Linked DNA regions of Drosophila melanogaster. The protein of the gene in region 3 purifies or fractionates together with the protein of the main gene of each other region. This does not show direct contact. Each region holds a gene or a part of one and is shown on either strand. Other genes may lie near its edges.

What was found. The genes of interacting proteins can lie anywhere in the genome.
Region 1: the proteins of Vps4 (region 3) and Sec63 purify together in Drosophila melanogaster (affinity purification with mass spectrometry, with the first as the bait; one large-scale study listed by BioGRID). This does not show direct contact.
Region 2: the proteins of Vps4 (region 3) and Rdh1 purify together in Drosophila melanogaster (affinity purification with mass spectrometry, with the first as the bait; one large-scale study listed by BioGRID). This does not show direct contact.

Annotation. Positions count from the first base shown.
Region 1 is NT_037436.4:7,357,038-7,366,093, forward strand, and holds Sec63 (secretory 63), read left to right. Parts: upstream 1-3,523; 5' UTR 3,524-3,870; coding exon 3,871-3,994; intron 3,995-4,601; exon of another isoform or gene 4,602-4,706; coding exon 4,707-5,416; exon of another isoform or gene 5,417-5,484; coding exon 5,485-6,733; intron 6,734-6,815; coding exon 6,816-6,994; 3' UTR 6,995-7,329; downstream 7,330-9,056. Other genes in the region: pst (pastrel), read right to left, coding at 501-1,338, 1,409-1,578, 1,654-1,743, 1,814-2,352, 2,431-2,813, 2,884-2,987; Sh3beta, read right to left, coding at 8,209-9,056.
Region 2 is NT_033778.4:7,662,718-7,669,070, forward strand, and holds Rdh1 (retinol dehydrogenase 1), read left to right. Parts: upstream 1-3,110; 5' UTR 3,111-3,219; coding exon 3,220-3,299; intron 3,300-3,428; coding exon 3,429-3,692; intron 3,693-3,756; coding exon 3,757-3,913; intron 3,914-3,969; coding exon 3,970-4,229; intron 4,230-4,286; coding exon 4,287-4,518; 3' UTR 4,519-4,626; downstream 4,627-6,353. Other genes in the region: CG2070 (uncharacterized protein), read left to right, coding at 1-198, 254-470; CG2065 (uncharacterized protein), read left to right, coding at 1,323-1,579, 1,636-1,792, 1,858-2,117, 2,179-2,407; DCTN4-p62 (dynactin 4, p62 subunit), read right to left, coding at 4,684-6,228.
Region 3 is NC_004354.4:17,905,951-17,914,258, forward strand, and holds Vps4 (vacuolar protein sorting 4), read left to right. Parts: upstream 1-1,741; 5' UTR 1,742-1,901; intron 1,902-2,623; 5' UTR 2,624-2,627; coding exon 2,628-2,763; intron 2,764-2,857; coding exon 2,858-3,719; intron 3,720-3,830; coding exon 3,831-4,059; intron 4,060-4,127; coding exon 4,128-4,229; 3' UTR 4,230-5,147; downstream 5,148-8,308. Other genes in the region: CG7772 (uncharacterized protein), read right to left, coding at 225-387, 703-928, 1,002-1,107.

The DNA.
Region 1 (9,056 bases), on a different chromosome or scaffold from region 3:
TTCGGCAGCAGATGTTAATGGTTACATTAGGGCAGGCTGGATTTGTTATTGTCACCAGAATTGGGGTTGTTCTTATGGGATACTTGAATTTATGACTTATATTCTAAGGCATTCAATGATTTGGTGGTATGGCTGTTGCTATTATACCATAGTATAGATGACATCAGATTGTAAATTTAGGAATTACTCTTAAAGATTAAAAAAAATCCCCTTTACACAATGAATGATTCACATATTCTGTGTTCGAAAACCGGAAATCAGAACCATTCCGGTTCAAAATTCTCCTTTTATTACAATTATTTCAACAGGGTTAATAAAATCTTTATTTAAATGCTAAAACAATTTCATCTTTGTCAATTTGTGCTCATATTAAGTAAGTTATCCCATTGATTATTTGCGGAACTAGCTAACGTTTCTTTGTGGTTAAACAATTGGGCATCAATTATGACATGCTGATGGCCCTTGAATTCTAATGTTAAACGAACCATTTCGTTAAACACTTACAAGGGACAAACGCTGAAGTGGCCGATACATTTCGGACACTTCTGAAGGAGACCCGGGAACGCATTTGGATTCAGGGACATGAAGTACACCCTTACGGCTTCTACGATCTCACAAGTGTGATCCGCAATAACCGAAAGTTGCACGTCCTCGAAGTTCCGTAAAATGTACAACAAAATGCGGTAAAGAACGGATTCCGTTGATATAAAGAACTTTAGCACCGAGGTGAGGTCTTCCAGCATGGTGTCCATGAAGGCTCTGGTCAATAGCATTATATGGTCAAAGACTTTTGGATCAAGCTTATTGGCCATGATGTTGATTAGGCTCTCAAAACTTTCAGCATTGATCACGTGCTCAAATATGATTTTTCCGTATTTCTCCAGTACGAAAACAACACCGCCCACCAACACAGAGCTTAGCTCCAAGGCGAACACGCCGGCGGCATAGGTACTGGGTTCCTGTCGAGGATGGGATGTGGGCAGCGGTCCGATTAGACGGGAAACCTGATTAACGCCGCCCAGTTGAAGGCGACCAGAACCCGCATGGCTACCGGGAATGGGCTGACTAACTTTGCCTAGGACATTCCCTCCTTGGTTATGTTGTACACTAGCTCGCAATTCCGCACCCGTCGTCTGCACATCGCCATTTAGTAAAAATCCTTTGCCATCGGGTGCGAATGAGTATCGCACGCCCTCCTGATTCAAGTTTTTGTTGATCTTAAAAAGATCATTAAACTCTTGTGGCGAAATTTCGTTTACGTTGCGTATAATGTCCAGTTTGCCGCGAGTGTTGCCTTGCATCCGAACGGTCTCCTTGGCAGCCTTGTCAAAGGTTCGCCTGATGGTAAAAAAAATACAAGTAGAAACTCTTGTTTACGACAGAATGTATCTCATTGAACGTTTTTTACCGCTGCCTATTAGAAAGGTTTTTACGATAGTCGGCAATATTAGCATTGCTTGTCTCATTAATTATGGTCGAAGCCAATTTAAAGTTGTAGACGCTGTGCGTGAGCAGCACCAACGAAGCGGACAATTGCAAAACATCCATCGCAACTATTTCGTCACCGTCTTTTGCTTTCTGTGGAAGATCATAAATTTCATAAGTTTAATCTATCTAGCCTAATCTAATCACAGTCTAAGTTTCGAGACTTGCCAATATCAGATCCAGCACACCATTGGCAACTCCAGTGCCCGATACCACAATCGAGGATATGTTCATGCTATTCACAGTCAGTTGGGTGATCTATGTGAGTACATATTTAACATTTTTATTCCATTGTTGATTGCGTGGGGGGGGGGGTTTAAGGACTCACCGCTCCCACCTCGCGTCCAGCATTTGTGGCCGTTGTCAAGACTGTGGTGGCCCCAGCCGCTGCCAATCCCACAGTGCCACCAGCCACGCCCAACCAGTGACCACGCGCTTCGCGGTCCGTCACATTGATAGACTGCTCATGTTGGCTGCGATCGAATAGCTTGCTGCCAGACCGCGATGCGGCGTATCCAGCACTGGCCAAACCTACTACTCCCGCTGCGCCCATCAGCGGAGCGGATACGGGCAGCGTTAGCAGGGCAGCAATGGGCACACAGGCAGCAAAAAATCCTCCGACTGCCGACCCAGTATCCAGGTAGCCCAGCACCTTCCTGTTGGTCGTGCCCGCCGGCGTTGTGTACTTATCCAGACGTACTTGATCCCTGACCAAGCGGTAAATACCCTTCTCTGGGGCCACCATCACTCCGGCAGGCAACTCGTTGGTGGTCACATACATCTCCCAGTTTTGGTAGACCCGACCAAGCTCGTCGATAAACAGATTGCAGCAATTCGAGCTGACGCTGCTGGTGCCACTACTGCCAACTGAGTATTAAATGGATCCATTGATAGATAGATAGGAAATATATTGTAAATTGCATACGTATGCAAAGGATGACTCACCGACGCATCGACGGGCCCGAAAGACTGGGTGCACGCTGAAGACTCTGGCGTCCTCGGCGCGATTGACGTCCGTTTCGTCAGTTACCACCATTACGTAAATGATCGCCGTCAGCGATTGACGGTTGGTATACTTTCCTGGAAAACAATTGTACGCAGTTAAGGCAGCGAAAAAATGTACTATACTATATACAATCTGTAAGTCCAACTCACGTTGCTGCCAAACGGAATCGAAAATGATCTGACGGGCGCGCTCATTATCTGCGTTGACCTTCAGCCGGATTTTTCTGTCTTTTTCAGTTTCCGTTGCAGTTTTCGGTTCCGGAGAATCACGAATCAATTGACAGAGTTTGCCCCTTAGCACGTCATGTTGTTCATGGGACAACCTGTAAGGGGTTACGTCATTACCCCAAATACTTTGAATTCAAAATTCTAATGCGCAGTAGCAGTACTTACAGATCCCAGATTATCTCTTCCGCGTAGCCGAGCGACTCGGCAAAGTTTTGCTGCACTTCACGTGCGGTGCGGGTAACTTCATGGTTTCCTAATCTATTCGCCATCCCTAAGTTGTCACCTTTCCGTTGCCACAGTTGTGCTGCTAATGGAGTTGTGCCACGGAATCACCAGCTTTTAAGTTAAGGCGCACACTAATTGAACGATCGTACTCGAAATACCGAAAAGGCAAGACGGCAGAAAAGCTCTCTAGGGATCATACCTTTATATGAATACCCCGTATTCCACCGTCACCTTCTTTGGTGAGCAAAATTTAAAAAGCTGCTAGCGTGCTAAACCCAAAATGTAACGAGACGATGAGCTCATGCTAATCAGATATTTGCTTTGTATTTCTAGCGAGCACATATTATATTATAAAAAAAAAAAATATATATATATATATATATAGGCAAATCCATTTAAAAATATACATTTACATTGAAAACTTGCTGACAAAAGTTTTGCTTGCAAACATTTTTAGTACTTGGTGACCTAAAAAATCAGATTCTAAACTTAGTACTGCCAGCTTTGGCAACCCTAAACTATGAATGCTGCCTCCCGCCTATCGATAGCCGTGCAATCGAACCGGCTCCGCTCCAGCTACGCCTATCGGTTCCAGCACGAGCCAAACAACCCTACGTGTCAGTCTCATGCGTCGGTGTAAATACAGAGTTTTTTAAGTTCGCGGCGTGCCAATCTCGCGATATCTTGCAGCAGCAGCAGCAACAACACCAGCTCCTGCCCCATTCGAATCTCGCAGATCGCCGCGTGTCGATCGAGAATCCACGGGGCGCAGCGATTGTAGCGATAACTCCAACGCGACAGCAACATCAGCTGGATCTGCCGGAGGAAAAGTGCAGGGGAAAGCGGCGGCAGAGAAAGGAACGGAACGGAACGGAGCCAAAAGGCAGTGCCAGACAAAATACAAAATACATATAGTCGCTGTCGGAGATGGCGGGTCAAAAGTTTCAGTATGATGAGAGCGGCGGAACGTTCTACTACTTTGTGTTATCGTTCTTGGCGCTAATATTGATACCGACCACCATTTACTATTGGCCACGTAAAAAGAAACAAGGTAAGTGCCGCTTGCCAGCCGATTTAAATCGCACTCTCTCCGCTCTTGTTTTTTAATTTTCCACCTGCAGCTGTGCGCGTGTGTATGTGTGTAAGTGAGTGCCAGTAAGGCGAAGGCATAGACATACATGTGATTACCACGCTCTCCTGCTCTAACCCTCCCGCCGCCACCAACAAACTAAATGGACACGTTCCAATAAGTTATTCTAACAACGTCAGCTCATCGTCTTCGTATGGGTGAAAGCTGCGCTGCGATTACCGCAAGTCGAGCTCTCTTCGTTTTCCAATTGGGACAGCGCACTCAACGCTCCACAAGCGTCCATGCGTCGCTAATATCGTGATAACTTACCTATCATCGTGATCGGTGGAGGAGGAGTGATTATGAGCAAGTTACCTTTGACTTATCGCGATCATGCTGTGCTTGTGCACTTTGCACACACGCTCACTGACCAATCGGCTGCTCTCTCACGATTTTCCTCTCGCGAGATTTTCATTTCTGTAGCGCTGGCATTCCCGGTAAAAAAAAAAATGCAATATGCGTAGACAGACCTCAACTAATTTTAATCGTAATCAGGTTAGCAGGTACCTGTAAAGATCGTTTTTTTTTTAAATCATTTTATTAGCCATCTTAAGTGAAAATGATAAATTTCAAATATTTTAAAATAGCCTATATAATCCCCGTACTGACCCAATTTTCGTACACATACTTGCAGATAACAGCAAACTTAAAGAGGAATGTCAGTGCGCCGACTGCCAGAAAAAGAAGACCATCTTGGCCAATGCCGAGCCGTACAGAGCTCTCACGTCATGGACCATCAAGCTGACCATAGTGCTGGGGTGGGCCCTACTGCTCTTCCTCACGTACCGCGTCTCGCAGTTCGACTACGAGATGGCCAGCTTCGATCCCTTCGAGATCCTGAATGTGCCGCCGACGTCGTCGCAGGCCGAGATCAAGAAGGCCTACTACCGGCTGTCCAAGGTGCTCCATCCCGACAAGGAGACGGGTGACGAGAAGTCCTTCATGATGCTGAGCAAAGCGTACCAGGCGCTGACCGACGATGTGGCAAAGGAGAACTACGAGAAGTATGGTAATCCGGATGGACCGGGTGCCATGTCCTTTGGCATCGCCCTGCCCTCGTGGATTGTGGAGAAGGAGAATAGCGTTTGGGTTTTGGGTCTGTACGGCCTGGTCTTCATGGTGGCCATGCCCTCGGCAGTGGGTGTTTGGTGGTACCGCTCCATCCGCTTCAGTGGCGACAAAGTGCTGCTCGATACCACTCAGATGTACTTTTACTTCATCCACAAGACACCGCACATGCTGCTCAAGCGGGCACTTATGGTTCTGGCAGCCAGTTTGGAGTTTGACAAGCGACACAACTCGCAGGTCCAGGAGCGGCAGTCGGACAATGACGAGGTGCCGGCGGTGAGTGCATTTTATTGGAATTTCCATTCGTTGTTCGCTCACTAATAACACTTCCTTTTCGAATACAGCTGATTAGACAGCTGCCCAATCTGAATGAGAAGTGCAAGGAGCATCCGCTGTGCCGCATGTACTCCATCAAGGCTCGCGCCATCCTGCATGCCCATCTCAGTCGCATGCCCCTCAATCCGGAAACTCTGGAGCGCGATCGCCAGTTTGTGGTGAAGAAGTGCCCGTATTTGGTGCAAGAAATGGTCTCCTGCGTTCACCAGCTGGTCATGATGGCCTATGCCCGACGTGTGCCCCGCCTGCCCAGCATCGAAACGATTGAGAACTGCATGAAAATGTCGCCGATGATTATCCAAGGCCTGTGGGAGTTCAAATCGCCACTGCTGCAGCTGCCCCATCTCACCGAGGACCATCTGTACTTTATGAACAAGAAGAGGCACGTCAAGAACCTGCAGCAATTCGCCCAGCTCAAGCCGGAGGAGAGCCGTCAGCTTCTGAAGAACCTATCTGACTTTGAGTACGAGAACACGATGAAAGTGCTGGGCAAGATGCCGCTGATTGACTTCTCCATTCGCTGCGAGGTTATCGACGATGAGAACACCAATGTGGTGACCGCCGGGGCCATAGTTACGGTCACGGTTACGCTGGAGCGCAAGGACATGAAGACGCTATTCGGTGACACAAAGGCGCCTGAGAAGCAGGGCATCAAGGATGAGACCAATGAGGAGGCTGCCGGTGATGAGGATGAGGCTGCTGCCGCTGCGCCGGTCAAGAAGGCTTCTGCCTGGGCCAAGCCACGTAAGGGTGGCAAGGGAAAGGGTGGTAAGAAACCAGCCCAGAACCAAAAGAACCAGAAGAAGGTGCCGGCCAAGGCTGCGACAACAGCTACGATCACGGCATCCGAGGATCAAGCGGCGGCGGGTAACTCCGATGCCGAATCGGAGGCTGGAAATGCGGATGGCAGCGATGTGGAATCGGCTGCCGGCAGTGGCAGCGAGGATGAGGAGAAGGGCAAGAACAACTCCTCGCTGGACGACGACGATGACGAGGAGTGGGAGCGACTGCAAGCTAAGCTTAACAAGAGGGAGCGTCTCGAGGGCAAGTCTCGGCTGTCGCACACCGTCCACTGCCCCTACTTCCCCGAGGAGAAGCAGGAGTACTGGTGGACCTACATATGCGATCGCAAGTCGCGCACCCTGCTCACAGCGCCCTATCATGTGACCAATCTGGTCGAGAAGGAGGAGATCCAGCTGAAGTTTACCGCGCCGCGCTGGCCGGGCGTCTACACGTTCACCGTTTGCCTGAGATCGGGTGAGTTTCTAAAAGAGTTTGGATTGCATAGTACATTGGCATTCGAAGGGGGGATTCTCACACAATGTTTCCTCTGTTTCAGACTCGTATTTGGGTATGGATCAGCAGCAGGAGCTGAAGTTGGATGTACAGAAGGCTCCCGCACCACCGACGGATCATCCTCAGTGGGATCTGAGCGAATCGGAACCGGAGCACACCGATCAGCAGGAGAACCTGAGCGACTATACAACAGATACGTCCGATGAGGAGGACGGCGAATAAATCCACTGTCTACATGGACAGTGCGACGGACGGACGGACGGATGGATAGACGTCCTGAACCCCAATCAACCTCAACCTCCTCTCTAATTCACTGGGACGGAAGAGAAGCCTCTTTGTTTTCCTTTTAGTAAATGAGTTTCGCGTGGCGCGTGGCGGAGGCACACCAATGCGAACCCTTCCTTCGCATTTTTACTAGTTTTGTAATGGAAAAGACCCCGAACTAGTGCGTAAATAACTATAACTTCATTTTACCGTGTACTGTACTAAACATAATTATAATGTACTGTATATTTAATTATTTGGATACAAGAACTAAAAGTGAGACACGTAAATACAAAAGTCTATTGATATTACTACTCTTTTGTTGTGTTATAAACTGAGAAAGAAAAACCCACGGGCTTGTTGCTACTTTCGCTCACTTTAATGCTGAATTAACATAAATTTACTGCACAATTTGCTGAATTTCTAGATTAACATTTTATTCAATTAAATAAATAGCATCACAATTACTTTAATTTAAACCATTCAAGTTATTGACCACGCCTAAACCTTAGCAATTTTTAAGTTTTTTTTTTTATTACATTTTTGCTAAGCCTTTGGATAAACTAATTGCTTACAGCTTTTAGAATTTGAATATATTTTAGCGCAAAAGTAAATTAATTTTGTAATAAATAAAAAACGGTTGTATCATTGTTAGAGTATCGACACATAAAATAATAAATCAGCAAAAACAAGTGAGAATTGCAACAAGCCCGAATAGTTTGTGGAAATCATAAAAATAATTTAAATCAAAGTTGGCGCTGCCTCTGTCTGCGCTGACGTCGACGCCTACTGCGCAGCCGCTGCCCGCTCGCTGTCCAATAAGAGATCCGATTGGGAATCTGAAGTCTTCTTAGCTGATGCTGCTGTTGTTGTTGTGGTCGCTGGTAACTTCTTTCATTGTTGTTGTAGACAGCAGCGAGTTTTTTGTTGTTTGTTTTGGGAAAGGAGTAAAAATTGTAAATAAGTCACATAAAGGCCTAAACTAGGGTTCATTACCCGTCACCAGACTCGTTATTAGTGGGTTCTTGTTTCTATTTACAAAACATTTTTGGTATTATTTGGCTAAATGTGCGTTTTTTTATGTGCGTGTGTGTGTATGTGTGCGTTTTGTGCATTGGTGTTTGTGATGCGGATGTCAGTGCGTTTTTTGTTGTCGTTCAATCGATTTTCTTTTACTCTTCTTCGCTTTCTTCGGAAGAGGAATTCTCGCCATCCGGTTTGCTTTCTTCATTTTCGGGCGTGTCTTCTGTCTTCGTTTCTGCAGGTTTTTCCTCGTCGATTGGTTCTTCCTCTTTGGTTTCCTCTACAGATCTTTCGGCAGTCATAACTTCTTCGGGCTTTTCTTGAGCCTCATTTTCATTAGGATTTTCTTTAATATCTTCAAATTTTTCGTTTTCCGTACTTACAACCTCGGATATTTCAGTACTACCAACTTCCTCGACCTTTTTGTTGGTCTCATTTTCTTCGAATTCATCTTTCACATCCTCCGATTCTACAACCTCATCATCTTCGGTACTTTTAACCTCTGATTTGGTAGCACTATCCGAGTCCGCGGACTCTTCTGTTGCATTTTCCTCGGTCTTTTCTTCAACATCCTCGTCTTTATCATTCTCATTGACTTTGGTGCCTTTGGTGTCATTTTCCTCCGTTTTTTCCTTGGAGCTTTCGGCCTCTGATTCTTCAACGGCATCAACTTCCTCGGACTTTTCTTGCGTCTCGTTTTTCTCCGATTTTGTATCCCCATCATCATTGGTGGCCTCAACATCTGGTTTCTCAGTAGTGTCAGCATCCTCCGATGTTTCTGCGGTCTCCTCACTTCCCTCTAATTTATCTTTAACATCCTCGGATTTTTCAGTTTTATCATCCTTAACATCCTGGGAGTTTTCCTTATCATCTTTTACAATCTCGGATTTTTCATCCTCATCATCTTTAACATCCTCGGATTTTCCAACCTCATCATCTTTGGTACTCTCAACCTCTGATTTTTCCTTGGTATCCACTTCCTCAGACTTTTCTTGGG
Region 2 (6,353 bases), on a different chromosome or scaffold from region 3:
GCGTGACGACCTGAACAGCGAAAAGTCCTATGACAGAAAGATGGCCTACTGTCAGAGCAAATTGGCCAACGTCCTCTTCACCAGGGAGTTGGCGAAACGCCTGAGCGGAACAGGGGTCACGGTAAATGCCCTACATCCCGGAGTAGTAAACACGGAACTGTTCCGCAATACACCCTTTTTGGGTTCGTGGTTTGGAAAGTAAGTTTGCTGATTGCATCATCCCATCAGCTATTAACTTTCGGCTCGCCTTTAGATTGCTCATAGCCCCTATTATATGGATATTCATAAAGACGGCTAGGAATGGCGCACAGACGACCCTGTACGCTGCCCTGGATCCCAGTTTGGAAAAAGTATCTGGAAGATACTTCAGCGATTGCAAGCAGAAGCACGTGGGCTCGGCCGCCCAGTATGACGATGATGCCCAATTCCTATGGGCGGAAAGTGAAAAGTGGACGGGAATTAATATATGAGCAACTTTATGACTCTTTTAACTCTTACCCTGTATTGTTGAAATACATTTAATAGAATAAGCTAAATGAGCTAGATGTTCTGTTCAACTTTTGTAAAAACATTACAAACATTTTAAAAACATTTGGCTGGAAGTCTTGGAACCAGTTATCTGAGTAATCTTAAATAAACTGATTTAGTAATTGCATTTTTTAAATAAACATTTAGTTAACGTTGCCTTGGCGTCACTAGAATCTGAACTATTTAGCAATATATGATTTCGGTTTAAGTCATGAGCTGTCATAGAAGCAGGTGAAAAACTAATCGAAAATAATAGAATATAAATAAGAATAATAATAATAGAATAATATGGTATTATAAGATTAGGTATTAATTAAATTAGACTTGCAGATAGTTATTTAGCTTATCATGCATTTGCTCGACTTGCAATGAGGTTTTTATAAACTAGAAGCAAAAAGCTCTCAGCAAACCCCAAACATATTTCGTTCTCTCGCAGTTTCGAATCAAACTCATCGTGAGTAAGCGTTTTGTGGCTTTCGTGTATTTTGGAGCAGATAGCGTACATTTCGTATAAAAGGCAGTTCCAAACGGACGGGCAAACATTCATTGACAGAACCAGCAAGTGAAACGAACACAAACGGCGGCAAGATCTATACTGTATCCAAACAAAATGGGCTGCCTTACTAATTGCTTGTGCTGCCCCCTCATTTTTGGCCGTCCATTATCGGACTGGCTGCCTACTTGCTAAGGTATTTGCATGGAATAGTTCTACTGCTGAGTAATGATTAATACGCTCGTGAATTGCGGCCTGTGTTGAAATAGAGTGATAAGAATTAATGAATTTCAGAAAATACATGCAGGGCGGTCAGTTCACCAAGCAGACCGATGAGACCGGCAAGGTGTTCATTGTCACCGGTGCCAACACGGGCATTGGCAAGGAGACGGTCCTGGAGATTGCCAAGCGAGGAGGCACTGTGTACATGGCATGCCGGGATATGAACCGGTGCGAGAAGGCGCGCCAGGATATTATCAGGGAGACAAATAACCAGAACATATTCTCTCGAGAACTGGACTTGAGTTCGCTGGAATCCATTCGCAAATTCGCTGCTGGGTAAACGCAAACATGATAGATCGACGAATGCGTTACTGATTTCCCTCGTTTATTAGATTCAAGAAAGAGCAGGATAAGCTTCATGTCCTGATAAACAATGCAGGAGTTATGCACTGTCCCAGAACACTGACCAAGGATGGCTTCGAAATGCAGTTGGGAGTCAACCATATGGGACACTTCCTGCTCACCCACTTGCTGCTGGACGTATTGAAGGTATTTTGGGTACTCAGGACTTTCTTAGCACCTTGTTAACCAAACTCCCTGCTTAATCTCACTAGAAAACTGCACCCAGTCGCATCGTGAACGTTTCCAGCCTGGTGCACACCCAAGGTTTCATTAAAACTGCCGACCTAAACAGTGAAAAGTCGTACAGCAGAATCGGTGCCTATAGTCAGAGCAAGCTGGCCAACGTCCTGTTCACCCGGGAATTGGCCAAGCGCCTGGAGGGAACGGGGGTCACAACCAACTCCCTACATCCCGGTGCCGTGGACACGGAGCTGTCGAGGAATTGGAAGTTCCTGAAACACCCCTTTGCACAGTAAGATAGAAGACATAAGTGGGCACTACTTGAGTTTGATATTAACACTCGTATCGCTTAGGCTACTGCTCAAGCCCCTCCTGTGGGTACTCTTCAAAACCCCTCGCAATGGAGCGCAGACCACTCTCTACGCAGCCCTGGATCCTGCACTAAAGGATGTTTCCGGGCTCTACTTTAGCGACTGCCAGCCAAAGGAAGTGTCCGCAGCTGCCCAGGACGACAAGACTGGAAAGTTCCTCTGGGCGGAGAGCGAGAAGTGGACCGGCGTGAATTCAACCAAAGTTGATTAAGCAACCATTAGTTTATCCCTCGCCATTTCATAATTTATTATTTTAATAGCTTATCATAATGAAGACTAACGCAAAATGTAATAATTTATGTTTGAATTGTAGAATTCTTACGGATTCTACAAGCTGAAAATAAAGAAATGCTCCCAAAAAAGCTTTACCTAATCTAAAATTTGTATTTTGAGATCAACATTGTTGCATTTCTGTGTTCAGTACTAAAGAAAAATGGTCAAATTCTTTTGTTTTTTTTGTAAAAGTGATGGAATCAATTTGGATGATTCATGCTTTATTTTTGTACCCGTTATTCCTGGAGTAGGAGGGTATACTAAATTAGTTGGAAAGTATGTATGTAACATAACGAATCAGTTAGTTCCCTATATCTCGACGTTCAAACGGACGGATATGGCTGGATGGATCGTTTTGACTAGTGTTGCTGATCAAGTCTAAATATAAACTTTATTCTATATGTTACATACTGTTCAGCGAACCTATTATACCCTTTTACTCCACGCGTAATATACCCATTGAGTAAATATAAACATCAATGGAATTGCTTTTATTTGTTTGAATGCTTTCCACTATCATAACATATTATTGAGAATTCGTTTTCTCTTGACCTTCGTTAAGAATCTCTCTCCCGACGTTCTCCATTTCGTCAGGTTCTCACTCCGAATTAGCGATAATATATGTTTGTGTGGGGTAGCTGTGCTCAGTAATATATTAACAGCTGTGCTGTTCGTACCAGAACGCACTCAACGATTGAAATAAGATCTGACAACACCCTAAATACAAGGAATTGTACAAAGATATTCAAAATGTGCATTTTCATCGATTGCTTATTGAGCCCCTTGATTATGTGGCCAGCTACTATCGGCGTGGGCATCTACTTCTTGAAGTGAGTTGCGGTAATTATTTCGTGTAATTATGAAATATACCAGTGTGACTACGCATCCATGACTCGCTACTATGATTCCCCCGGGTAATAGATAACAGCTTTTCAGGTAATTCCTATTGATAATTCCAGGGAGTACATGCAAGGTGGAAAGTTTACGAAGGACACCGATGAGACCGGAAAGGTATTCATTGTGACCGGTGCCAACACGGGCATTGGCAAGGAGACGGCTCTGGAGATAGCCAGACGTGGGGGAACTGTGTACTTGGCTTGCAGGGATATGAACCGATGTGAAAAGGCCCGCAAGGATATCATCAAGGAGACAAATAACCAGAATATATTCTCTCGAGAGCTGGACCTAAGTTCCCTAGACTCCATTCGCAAATTTGTTGATGGGTAAGCTTACCTCCAGAGAATTTTCTTGTCTCTGTAAGATTTAAAAACCTATCCTATCAATCAGCTTCAAGAAGGAGCAACCCAAGCTTCACGTCCTGATCAACAATGCCGGCGTGATGCGTTGTCCCAAGACCCTAACCAAGGATGGCTACGAACTGCAGCTGGGAGTAAATCATATTGGTCACTTTTTGTTGACTAACTTGCTGCTCGACGTACTGAAGGCAAGTGTGCTATATAATAGTCAAGTGCGTCAGATAATGGTCTTACAAAATTTCAGAACTCGGCTCCCAGTCGCATTGTCGTTGTGTCCAGTCTGGCACATGCGCGTGGCTCCATTAACGTAGCCGACCTCAACAGCGAGAAGTCGTATGATGAGGGCCTAGCCTACAGCCAGAGCAAGTTGGCCAACGTCCTGTTCACCCGGGAATTGGCCAAGCGTTTGGAGGGCAGCGGAGTCACAGTAAATGCCCTTCACCCTGGTGTGGTGGACACTGAGCTGGCGCGGAACTGGGCCTTCTTCCAGACAAACCTTGTGAAGTAAGTGATGAATAAGTGAATTAGGACCTTCCCAGTAATACCTGTTAACCTTCCTAGGTTCTTTTTAAAGCCAATGATTTGGCCGCTTTTAAAGACACCGAAGAGTGGAGCTCAGACCTCGATTTACGCTGCTTTGGATCCGGAGCTTAAGAACATCTCTGGCCTGTACTTCAGTGACTGCAAACCAAAGCCTGTGGCTTCTGGTGCCTTGGACGATAAGGTTGCCAAGTTCCTGTGGGCCGAGAGCGAGAAGTGGACCGGATTAGATAAGCTGGAAGCTAATAACTAAAGAAGAACGAATAGTGTTAGAACAAGCCTTTTATTATACTTGAATACTAGCTGCTGTTTCACGAACGGATTAATAAATAAATACATATTTCTCTAGCTTTCATAAAGCATATTTCATATTTCGCATAAGTCGATTAGTACGCCTGTTGGCTAATAAGTTTCCAGTTTAGTTGGCTTTCTGCTCAGTTGCTCCCGCCGTGATAAACACCCTGGAGTGGAGCACATGGGTTGTGGGTTCCCTCTTCTCTTGCGCATTGTTTACGGTGTTGACGTATGTGTACTGCATATAGAAGCCCAGAACGACGTCTGCTAATCCGGACAGCTCCTCTGCTGGGGTAAACTGTAGCCGCAAAAGCACCTTGTTGCCCTTCCGCCAGACAATAAACTTGGGCTCCTCGGTGGACAGTTGCACGTCCTCGTCGAACTCTTTCGAGTCATCGCGCTGGTTCAGAACGAACTCGCTCTCCAACGGAACTATTTCGGCATTGGATATATCAATCACATCTCGTTTTACCTCCCGTGTTGAGTTTTGACGCGACAGTGTGATGCCCACTGCTTTTAGAAGTGGGGACGAAGAAATGGGTTCCTCTTTCGCAACACGAGTGGCCTCTGTTGACAGCTGTGGATCCTCAGGAGGAGATGCAGTCAACAGTCGAATTGTCATATCGTATATAGTCGGATTCGTGAGCTTCAGCAAAATGGCGTTGCTTTTTCCTGCCACCAGTGGCTGCTCGCAGCGCACCATCACCACTTCAGGAACATGGTAGCTGGCGAAGTGCTGAATGCGGTACTTTATCGATGTGGGATGGTACTCCGGTTTGATTAGATTGTGCTCGCACTGGCGGCAACGAAGCGACCGCTTAATCCACAGGGACCTGCGCTGAGGATAAAGACTCCCAACGGCCGTGGGCTGGTCCGCCGGCTGGCTATGTCGCTGGGTGATGGTTGTCACATTCCGCAAGTTCAAGGGTTCCGTGAAAATGTTCTCCGGCAGGCCCTCCACCTCCGCCGTGGCCTCTGCCGGCGTTATCACGGCTTTAGCCTTGGGAGCCTTGTCGTTCCAGCCGATTTGGCGGCGAATAAGTGAGACGGTTAGTCCAGTGCGATCCGTCAGACTGGGAAACTTGTGCTGCTTGGGTGCCTTGCGCCGCATGAACTCCAGTTTCTCCTGCTTCTCCTGCAGCACCACCGCCTGGAAGTACTCGACCAGAGCATTAAATCGCGCCTGGTACAAGCACTCGTTATCCGGCCAGGTGCCCGTGGCCACGCCTTGGTCGGGAATGCCCACATCTCGCGTGGTCCATCGGCAGGACAAGCACGACAAATAGTACATCTTTTTTGTGGTGGGCACCGCAGAGGGCTTGCTGCTCGCCGGGACTGGGGGCGTGGCTTCGCCCTTGGAGTCGCCATCCTTTGGTTCCTTCGCCTCCTCCGACTTGCGCACCACCGGAACGGTAGATGCTCTGGCGGAAAGGGTGTGCTGGCAGCAAGGACAGTCGAAGCAGTTCGCACAACAGTTCTTCTTGTGGCGCGCCTCTGTGGAGGGAATGTTTTCCAGGCAGTTGGAGCAGAAGTGCGACTCGATCTCATGCGTCACGCAGAAGCCACAGCGCAGCTTGGGGCAGTGGCGGCAGAAGAACAGCGTGTTGATCGGGTTCAGTATGCCGCAGGAGCACGCGTACTTAACGGGACTCGGTTGCATGAAGCTCATCTTGACGACGCTAGTTTTCTCCTGGTTTCTTAGTAAATTTGCAAATTTGTCCTCTTCTTGCAGTAATGACGACAGCTGTTATATCGATAAGTCGATGACTCGATTATATGTAGTCATCTATGGGC
Region 3 (8,308 bases):
TTTGTAAAGCGTATTGTAAATTTTTTGCACTATTTTTTCCCCGTCCCAATGTCAATAAATAAAATGTTAAACTAGAAATTCTGGTCAATATGCAAACTGGATTTGGGGCTAAAGCTTTGCTACAGTTCATGTAAACTCTTAGTATCTAAGAACTATCACCGTGGAGTAGAATGGGAGTAGACTTGGAGTTGGGCCAATGCTGTGCACATCCCAGCTAGCGTTCACTACCGCACCGTCTTGCGGTAGGTGGCGTCCATCAGGCGGTCAACCATGCTGTCAATGGGATGGATGATAAGCGGTATGCTGGCCAGACCCACCAGGGTGGGCACCGTCTTTAGCACGGGCATAGGCGCTTTGCTCAGCAGTGTTTTGGTGGCCCAGGTGATCCTAAAACGATATAAATGAGCATTGCTTATTATGTGAACATAAACTCATAAAAATGGGTATGATCTTGGAGAGAACGATGACTTCATCGTGTATCTACAAATATACAATAAACCTGTTTTTGCAACATTGCACATGCCATTCTACTACGTATATGCACTCTATAGTATAATTTTTACTATGCTTATATAAGATAAGTATTATGCAACTAATGGAAAAAGGGAATCTTTAAGACGCCTCATTCCCTACTTCCAACTATGTAAATACAACCATTAAGTCTACGTTTTTGGGCAATTTTCTGGCAAGGGTTGAACGCACCGATTGATGACCAGGCCGGGAATGGCGACGGAGGCCAGCATCTGCCAGCAGAAGACGTCGCCGCCCTTGACGGCCACTTCTCTGGAGGAAGCGCCCTCCATTTGGAGGCGCAGTGCCTTGTCAAAAGTGTCCGTGCAGACGTATCCGATGGCCATGCCGTAGGATGCGGCCACCAGAGACTTGGGCACCAGCGGGCGGAAGGACTCGCCAATCTCGTTGCTGTAGCCTGCAAAGCCGTAACAATTAAACTCATATATTTCGATGGATCTGGGCAGATTCTGCTTGGGAGGAACACTCACCCATATAGCGAATGAAGGTGTCCCGGTAGATGTCCACCTCCTTCAAAGACGTGGAAGTTTTCTTGGTGCCCTTATCCCGGCGGATGAACTGTTTGTCCTCCGACATTGTCTATTTTTTTTATTTTTATTTTTTATTTTTGGAATGGCAGAAGTTCTAATGCTATTTTGATTTTCGAGTAATTGGGTAATATGACAAGATGATCTGATCTTCTCCAACTGACGCAAAATCAGCTGGCAACTGAGTTTCCTAAAAATTCATTGAAATCGCTTAAAATATCGCTTTAAATAAAATAATTAAAGCGCCTAACTGCCTATAAATTGGAGACTTAAAAACAAACTGTTTATATAAATATTTTAATTGCGCGTATCGATAATGTATTATTGTTATCGATTGTCAGAGCTAGTGGAAAAAACGCTAAAATCAGCTATTTATGGCGATTAAAATTTATAGGAATTTATAGCAATTATGAAATATCATATATTAGTTTTTATATTGTATTCGTTTTTTAATGAGCTAAGTCCATTTAATATCGCTTGCTATACACTTAATCATATAACATATGAGTTCCGAACTCTTTTAAGTTAAATAAAGTAATGTGAACAAATTGTCATATTGTCACATATGTGAATTTATTAGAGCTGGATTTTTGGCTACACTTTCAAAAACCGCGCCAAGTAATTTCACCTTTCCATGTGTGACCATTGCAGCTGCACCGCAATCTAAGGCCCAGCCCGCGCTGTGGTCACACTGACAAATAAAAAAAAACAAGACGTCGTCATTCGCGTTGGAATTCCAACAAAATAGTTAAGTTTTCCTTTTGTTTAACACCTGTCGAGTTAGCCAGCGAGTTAGTCAGTGACGCTTGCCGGAATTCCAGGAGCAAGTCAGCCAGCATAAATGTGAGTAATGGTCGGAACTGACCCGCCATCCCCTCCGCAGCCGCCCCGCAAAAAGTTGGCTACTTGTGTTTTTGTCAATGCCGCTGTATTCGGGCATTAGTCATGCCCAGAAATTCGATTTTGCTCGCGAACTGCGTCACCGAAGGACACTGAGTAGCAAGATGGGAGTTACTACTCCGCCAAGGATCAATTGGGTAACCATCGTCATCGGCCTGGCCAGCGAAACTCACGCCGAGATGATAGATTCCCAAGGGGAGGGGGGCTATTACAGCCCGAAATATATCAAAATTCTATGGAATCATTATGCTCGGGAAGTTTGGCATTACAATATGAGTTATAGAATCGTTTTGGATAGTGAGTGTAAAGCAATCAAAGGATATAAACAAAGCTGGGATCAGATCCAGTTGATTTTGCATAAATCGATATTGTAACTATATTTTTAGAACCTGTTTAATAACTTTATTTTGAACTTTATTCTATACATTATGCTCCATATTGCACAAATCGATTTGCCCACATATTTGTGGCATCTTTAGTTCTCTGTGTAGTAAAGTTGTAGGCTTTAAAATATGACAACTTAACTCTAAGCTGAGCAGAAATGATTAGAAAGCGGAAATTAAGATGATAAAATCCATAAGTAGTCCACGTTAAGCCTTGGTGGATAGTTCCTCCCATCAAAATGCCAGTTGAAATAATGATGTGTGAACGTTTGTAACTTCCAGCACCATGGCAGCCGGTACCACACTACAGAAGGCCATCGATCTGGTGACCAAGGCCACCGAGGAGGATCGAAATAAGAACTACGCGGAGGCACTGCGTCTGTATGAGCACGGGGTGGAGTACTTCCTGCACACCATCAAATGTAAGCAGTCCCATTAGTGCATCTAAAATGCACTTATACTCACTGAATAGAAGCAAGCTGACTACTAACTATCAAATTACTATCTAACGAGCAGATGAGGCACAGGGCGAGAAGGCCAAGGACTCGATACGGGCCAAGTGCCTGCAGTATTTGGACCGGGCCGAGAAGCTAAAGGAGTACCTGAAGAAGGGCAAAAAGAAACCGATCAAGGAGGGTGGTGAGTCCAGCGCCAAGGACGACAAGGACAAAAAGAGCGACAGCGATGACGAGGACGGCGACGATCCCGAGAAGAAGAAGCTGCAGAGCAAGCTGGAGGACGCCATTGTCATAGAGAAGCCAAAGGTTCAGTGGTCCGATGTCGCTGGCCTGGATGCCGCCAAGGAGGCGCTGAAGGAGGCCGTTATCCTGCCGATTAAATTCCCGCAGCTCTTCACTGGCAAGCGGATTCCGTGGAAGGGCATCCTGCTGTTCGGCCCGCCCGGTACCGGTAAATCCTATCTGGCCAAGGCCGTCGCCACCGAGGCCAATCGCTCCACATTCTTCTCGGTGTCCAGTTCGGATCTGATGTCCAAGTGGCTGGGCGAGTCCGAGAAGCTGGTCAAGAATCTCTTCGAACTGGCCCGCCAGCACAAGCCCTCCATTATCTTCATTGACGAGATCGATTCGATGTGCTCGGCGAGATCGGACAACGAGAACGACAGCGTGCGACGCATCAAGACCGAGTTTCTGGTGCAGATGCAGGGCGTGGGCAATGACACCGATGGCATTCTCGTTCTCGGCGCCACAAACATACCGTGGGTCCTCGACTCGGCCATTCGCCGTCGATTCGAGAAGCGCATCTACATTCCGCTGCCGGAGGCGCATGCCCGCCTCGTCATGTTCAAGATCCATCTGGGCAACACCACGCACGTGCTCACCGAGCAGGATCTCAAGGAGTTGGCCGGCAAAACCGAGGGGTAAATGCACTTTATAAACTATTTGCTTCACTATCACACAAAATTGATCCATTGTTTATAATGTTTATATGTAAGCATATTTAACTAAGTGAATGATTTTCCGTTTTGCAGCTACTCTGGCGCGGATATATCAATCGTTGTGCGCGATGCGCTGATGGAACCCGTGAGGAAAGTGCAGACCGCCACGCATTTCAAGCGGGTATCCGGTCCGAGTCCCACCAACCACGAGGAGATTGTCAACGATTTGCTGGTTCCGTGCTCACCTGGCGACCAGGGCGCCGTCGAGATGAACTGGATGGATGTGCCCAGCGACAAGCTCTTCGAACCGCCCGTGACCATGGTACGGCATCCTTAGCTATCAACCTTTTTTCGCAGTGCCAATAATCTTTCTTGAACTTCTACATCCAGCGCGACATGCTGAAGTCCTTGTCCCGCACGAAACCGACCGTCAACGAAGACGATCTGAAGAAGCTGCGCAAATTCACAGAGGACTTTGGGCAGGAGGGCTAGACACGAACCCCGCCAGATATCGTCAGCACCACCAGCTAATTCTAATTGTTGCCTATTGCATAAATTCAAACACGTTTTACTTCTGGCTCTCCTTAAACATTTTTTTTATTTTATATATATATATAATGTATACATACGATATATGGTTAAAATTTAATTCAAATTTGTCGTTCGATTGCAACCGGAGATGAAGGACATGCAGTGAGCGTGAAGCGGGTGGATCTGTGGATTGTTGTAATCACAAAGTCAATGTATTTTTGTACTCTTAATGTTAAGCGACGGAAGAAACCCGATATCCAGCCTGAAGTTTGAAACCTAATGTAATATGAGTGTCCGCCGCGCTTGCGCAATATTTGCCACTCGGACTTGCCACGGACACCTCAGATCAGAGCAGCACCAATCAGCGGAGGAGCTGGAGCTAGAGCTGTAGAAGCAGAAGGAGAAGAAGGAGCAGAAGCAGGAGCAGTTTGCGGAGTTTAAGCGCAGTCGAGCAAACCTATTTAACTTGTAACGTACCAGAAATAAAAACGAAAATTGTATACCATGTATGACGACGTAGCGGGAATGCCAATTGCCAGTGGAATCGTCGCGGGGATTCCCCGCCGCCGCAAGTGACCCCATTTCAAAGTGAGCCACCAGGTGGGTGGGTGGCCGGTGGACGGAATGGAGAAACTGAGCGCCGAGAGTATCAGCGGCAGAATGCGAGAGTCTCAGCCGTCTGGCCCACATGCCAAGTGCGATAAGATCTTTCCAGCTCACCAGCATATGTGCGCTTGTTCCTGGCCGATCGACCAGATATCGAGCATACTGCGAGCTGCGCACAGTGGGCAATGACCTATTTGTATGGAGCAAACTAAAAGAAACCTACTGATGCCATAGTTGAAATATTTTTATAACACAAAAATTGCATTTCTCTGTTGCTGCTCTTCCTTTGCATTGGTTCTTTATATATATATATTTTTTTTTAAATATTTTTCCCTTTTCCCTAGTTTTAAGCATTTAAGTCCATCGAAAATAAATGCTATAAAAATGAAAATATCTTTATTTTATAGCGTTGCTTTAAGTAGATTGATTTGTAATATTTGAGACATTTTGAATGTAGTTTTTTAGTATGAATTATTATGTTATTTCCTATTGTAAGCTTTTTGCCCATCAGCTCCACTGTGCGCTGCCGAATGCTGCCGAGCAGTGATTGTGCTCTTCGGCTCTTCGACTTCGCCTTCGGATCGCTGGGTTTTCGCGTTCGGTTCGTGAGTTTTGAGCCGTGCTTTGAGCCAGAGTTTCAGTTGATCTTCGGCCGCAAAGGCTAGAGGTTTGAATATTGTGGGATCGGTCCGCTATAGGTTTTTCGCTATATTTCGCCCGCACATCGGCAGTTCCGTTACGTGAGTGCAGCGCCGTCGTCTGCGCTGCATGAGGCCAAAGATACAAGCCGAAAAGATACAGATACACGGCGACAACGTTTCTCGGTTGGTTTTGCGCAACTTTGTGAAAAGCGTGATAGAGCCCAGATACGAAAAAAAAGTGCGTATTTGTTGTGATTTGTTTTTGTTTGCGTTTGGCGTGCAAGTGACATTTGTTTTTCCAAGGTGCATTAATTACCTGGCTCAGGGGCCTGGCCCTTACCTTACACACCTTATTTTAGCTCTTTTTTTTAAAGTGCGGTCTGTGGTGCACAAAGGAAAATATTCATTATTTATCACGATATAAAATAATGTCCTGCTTATTCAATAAGTATCAGCATTTTTTAAATGTTTTTTTTTTAATAAGAATTAATTTTTACGTTGGCTTATAACTTTGTGGATTTTGTATCGTAAATCGTTTTGCAGCATGGTTTTCATTAAATAAAGTGTTACTAAAATGTAGCATTCCTATCTTCTGTGTTGTATGTTGCTTTAAGCTTCTAAATCAGTAATATTTTAATATTTAATTAGTATTAATATATTTACATAAATTTGAGATACTGCAAGTAGCGTAGATGCTGATGCTAGTAGCATTTAGTGGATTTAAAGGAGCGCTGTTGGAAGGGTCAACCAAAGTGGGCAGGCGTTTCTCGCAGTGCACATGGGCTGCTGCTGCTGCTGCTGCCCCGACGAAGCGCAACTTTCACGCGCTTCAGGTGAAAACCGTGAGCCGGGTCTCAAATGAGCGAAATGAAGAAGAAGTCGAGTTAAAGCCGCACAGCAGCCGAACTCTCATGATTTGTTGTTGTTTTCGGTGTTGTTATTATTGGTAAGGTTGATGCTGTTGTTGCCGATGTGACTCTGTTTTTTCCCCCACATTCGCATTGTTTTAACCATTTGTTTCTTGGTTTTTTTTTTTTTTTTGCGTGCTTCACTTTGTGTTTTCGGCTACTGTTTTTTGTGTCAGTCGCCGTTTTGCGAAACTATTTCAGAAATGCATATTTCTTGCGGCTCAAATGTGTGTGTCCAACTGACTGAGTTATGCGCACGAAGAGCCTTTCATCATCATTGTGGCCACTAGCAGTTTTCTTCCAGTGTTCCACTGCTTGCACTTCTCGCACTGCACTGCTTGCATCCAGTTTGTTTGGTTTTTCTTTTGGCCACCAGGTGCATATTATGCATTATTCGATTAAACTTGTTTGCAGACGCACTGACATCAACACCTGACCTCCCCCCGCCCCCAGCCCCTTGTGGATCAGAAAAAAACTTTAAATCATGCTGACATTGACACGAATTGTCGCCGCCAGCAACAACTGAAAAAAAAAACTCCAAGAGCCAACAAACAAAAGTCAAATCATACAATTTAAAGTTGAGTTCCAAGCAAAACTGCCAACTTAAAATTTATGACTAAGATCTGTGGTGCGCGCTCCAAAATTAAAGTGCATAAAATTCCATCAATGCCACTGCTGGCCAACAGCAATGAATTATATTAATTTGGCTTACAAATTTGTATTTGGTCAAGTCAGTGGCACATTGCACCGCAAGAAAATTGTGCACATAAAGGGGTAGTTTCGATTTTAATCATATGCCATTTTGCTTCACTAACTGATGTTTTATTATGCAAATTTAGCTAAGTGGCTTTTATCACATTGATCTTGCAGGCAGTTGATACAGTTGCAGTTGCAACAAAGTTTCAACTCAAATTATATCGAAAACAAATGGAAAGGGCTAAAAACAATTAAGGAATATACTGCAACTATTTCTTTCCGTGTCTTCATTTGAAATTGCATTTGAAGTCGAAGCAAACGGATCGAAGACCCAGCGAACAATCAACTCCATTTGATTGTCGGTTGTTGATTGGATCGATTAGCCCGAGGAACAAGGTCGTTTACCACGCATATTATTAAATGCAAATGGGCATTATGTCTGCTAAACGCTGGAAAATTTCCTCGAGTGATTCAAGCATAATTTTGTTGGATAATAGCTGCGTTAAGTGTATTTACATCAATTTCGGCCTTAAGCTTCAATACTCCTGTTGTTATATTGCACATTTTACTTGCCTTACTACCAAAAGTTCACAGCAATGAAAAGCATAATTGCCTGGAAAGGAGACCATAAAAAAGCAGCGCAAGCAAATTAAATTTCTTTTGTTCTTGACAAAGCGGAGCGTGGCAAACAATTAAAACAGAATAATTATATTTAATATCGTGTGTTAATTGTGGCTGTCATTACGATGGTCGTGTGAGTGGAAAGCCAAAGATAAGTCAGAGTTCTGGATTTTCCGTCTGAGATTCTGGGAAAGATCTGCACAGAGATACTGGGTTTTAGATGCATGCGAGTTTAGGTTTAGGTTTCCTAATATATTCCCTCATAATTTCTATGTTGCAAACGTGCCTTAGACACTCTATATATATTTTCTTAATTAAGCTAAATTTGATTTTGTATGTATGTAGTATATATATACCTGACCCTTTTTCTCGTCTAGTGAATAAATTCTGGCGGTTCTCTCTGCTTTTCATTGCTCTTTTCATCTCATTGTCGTTGGGTAACTGGGCCAGAAAGTCTTTCATAAGACTAGAAATGATATGGCAGTGCCTGATTAGGTCAACACGTTCCATGAACCATAACTGGTAACTTGATGCTGTCGCCGGGAAATGACAAAAGAGTTAGCACTGG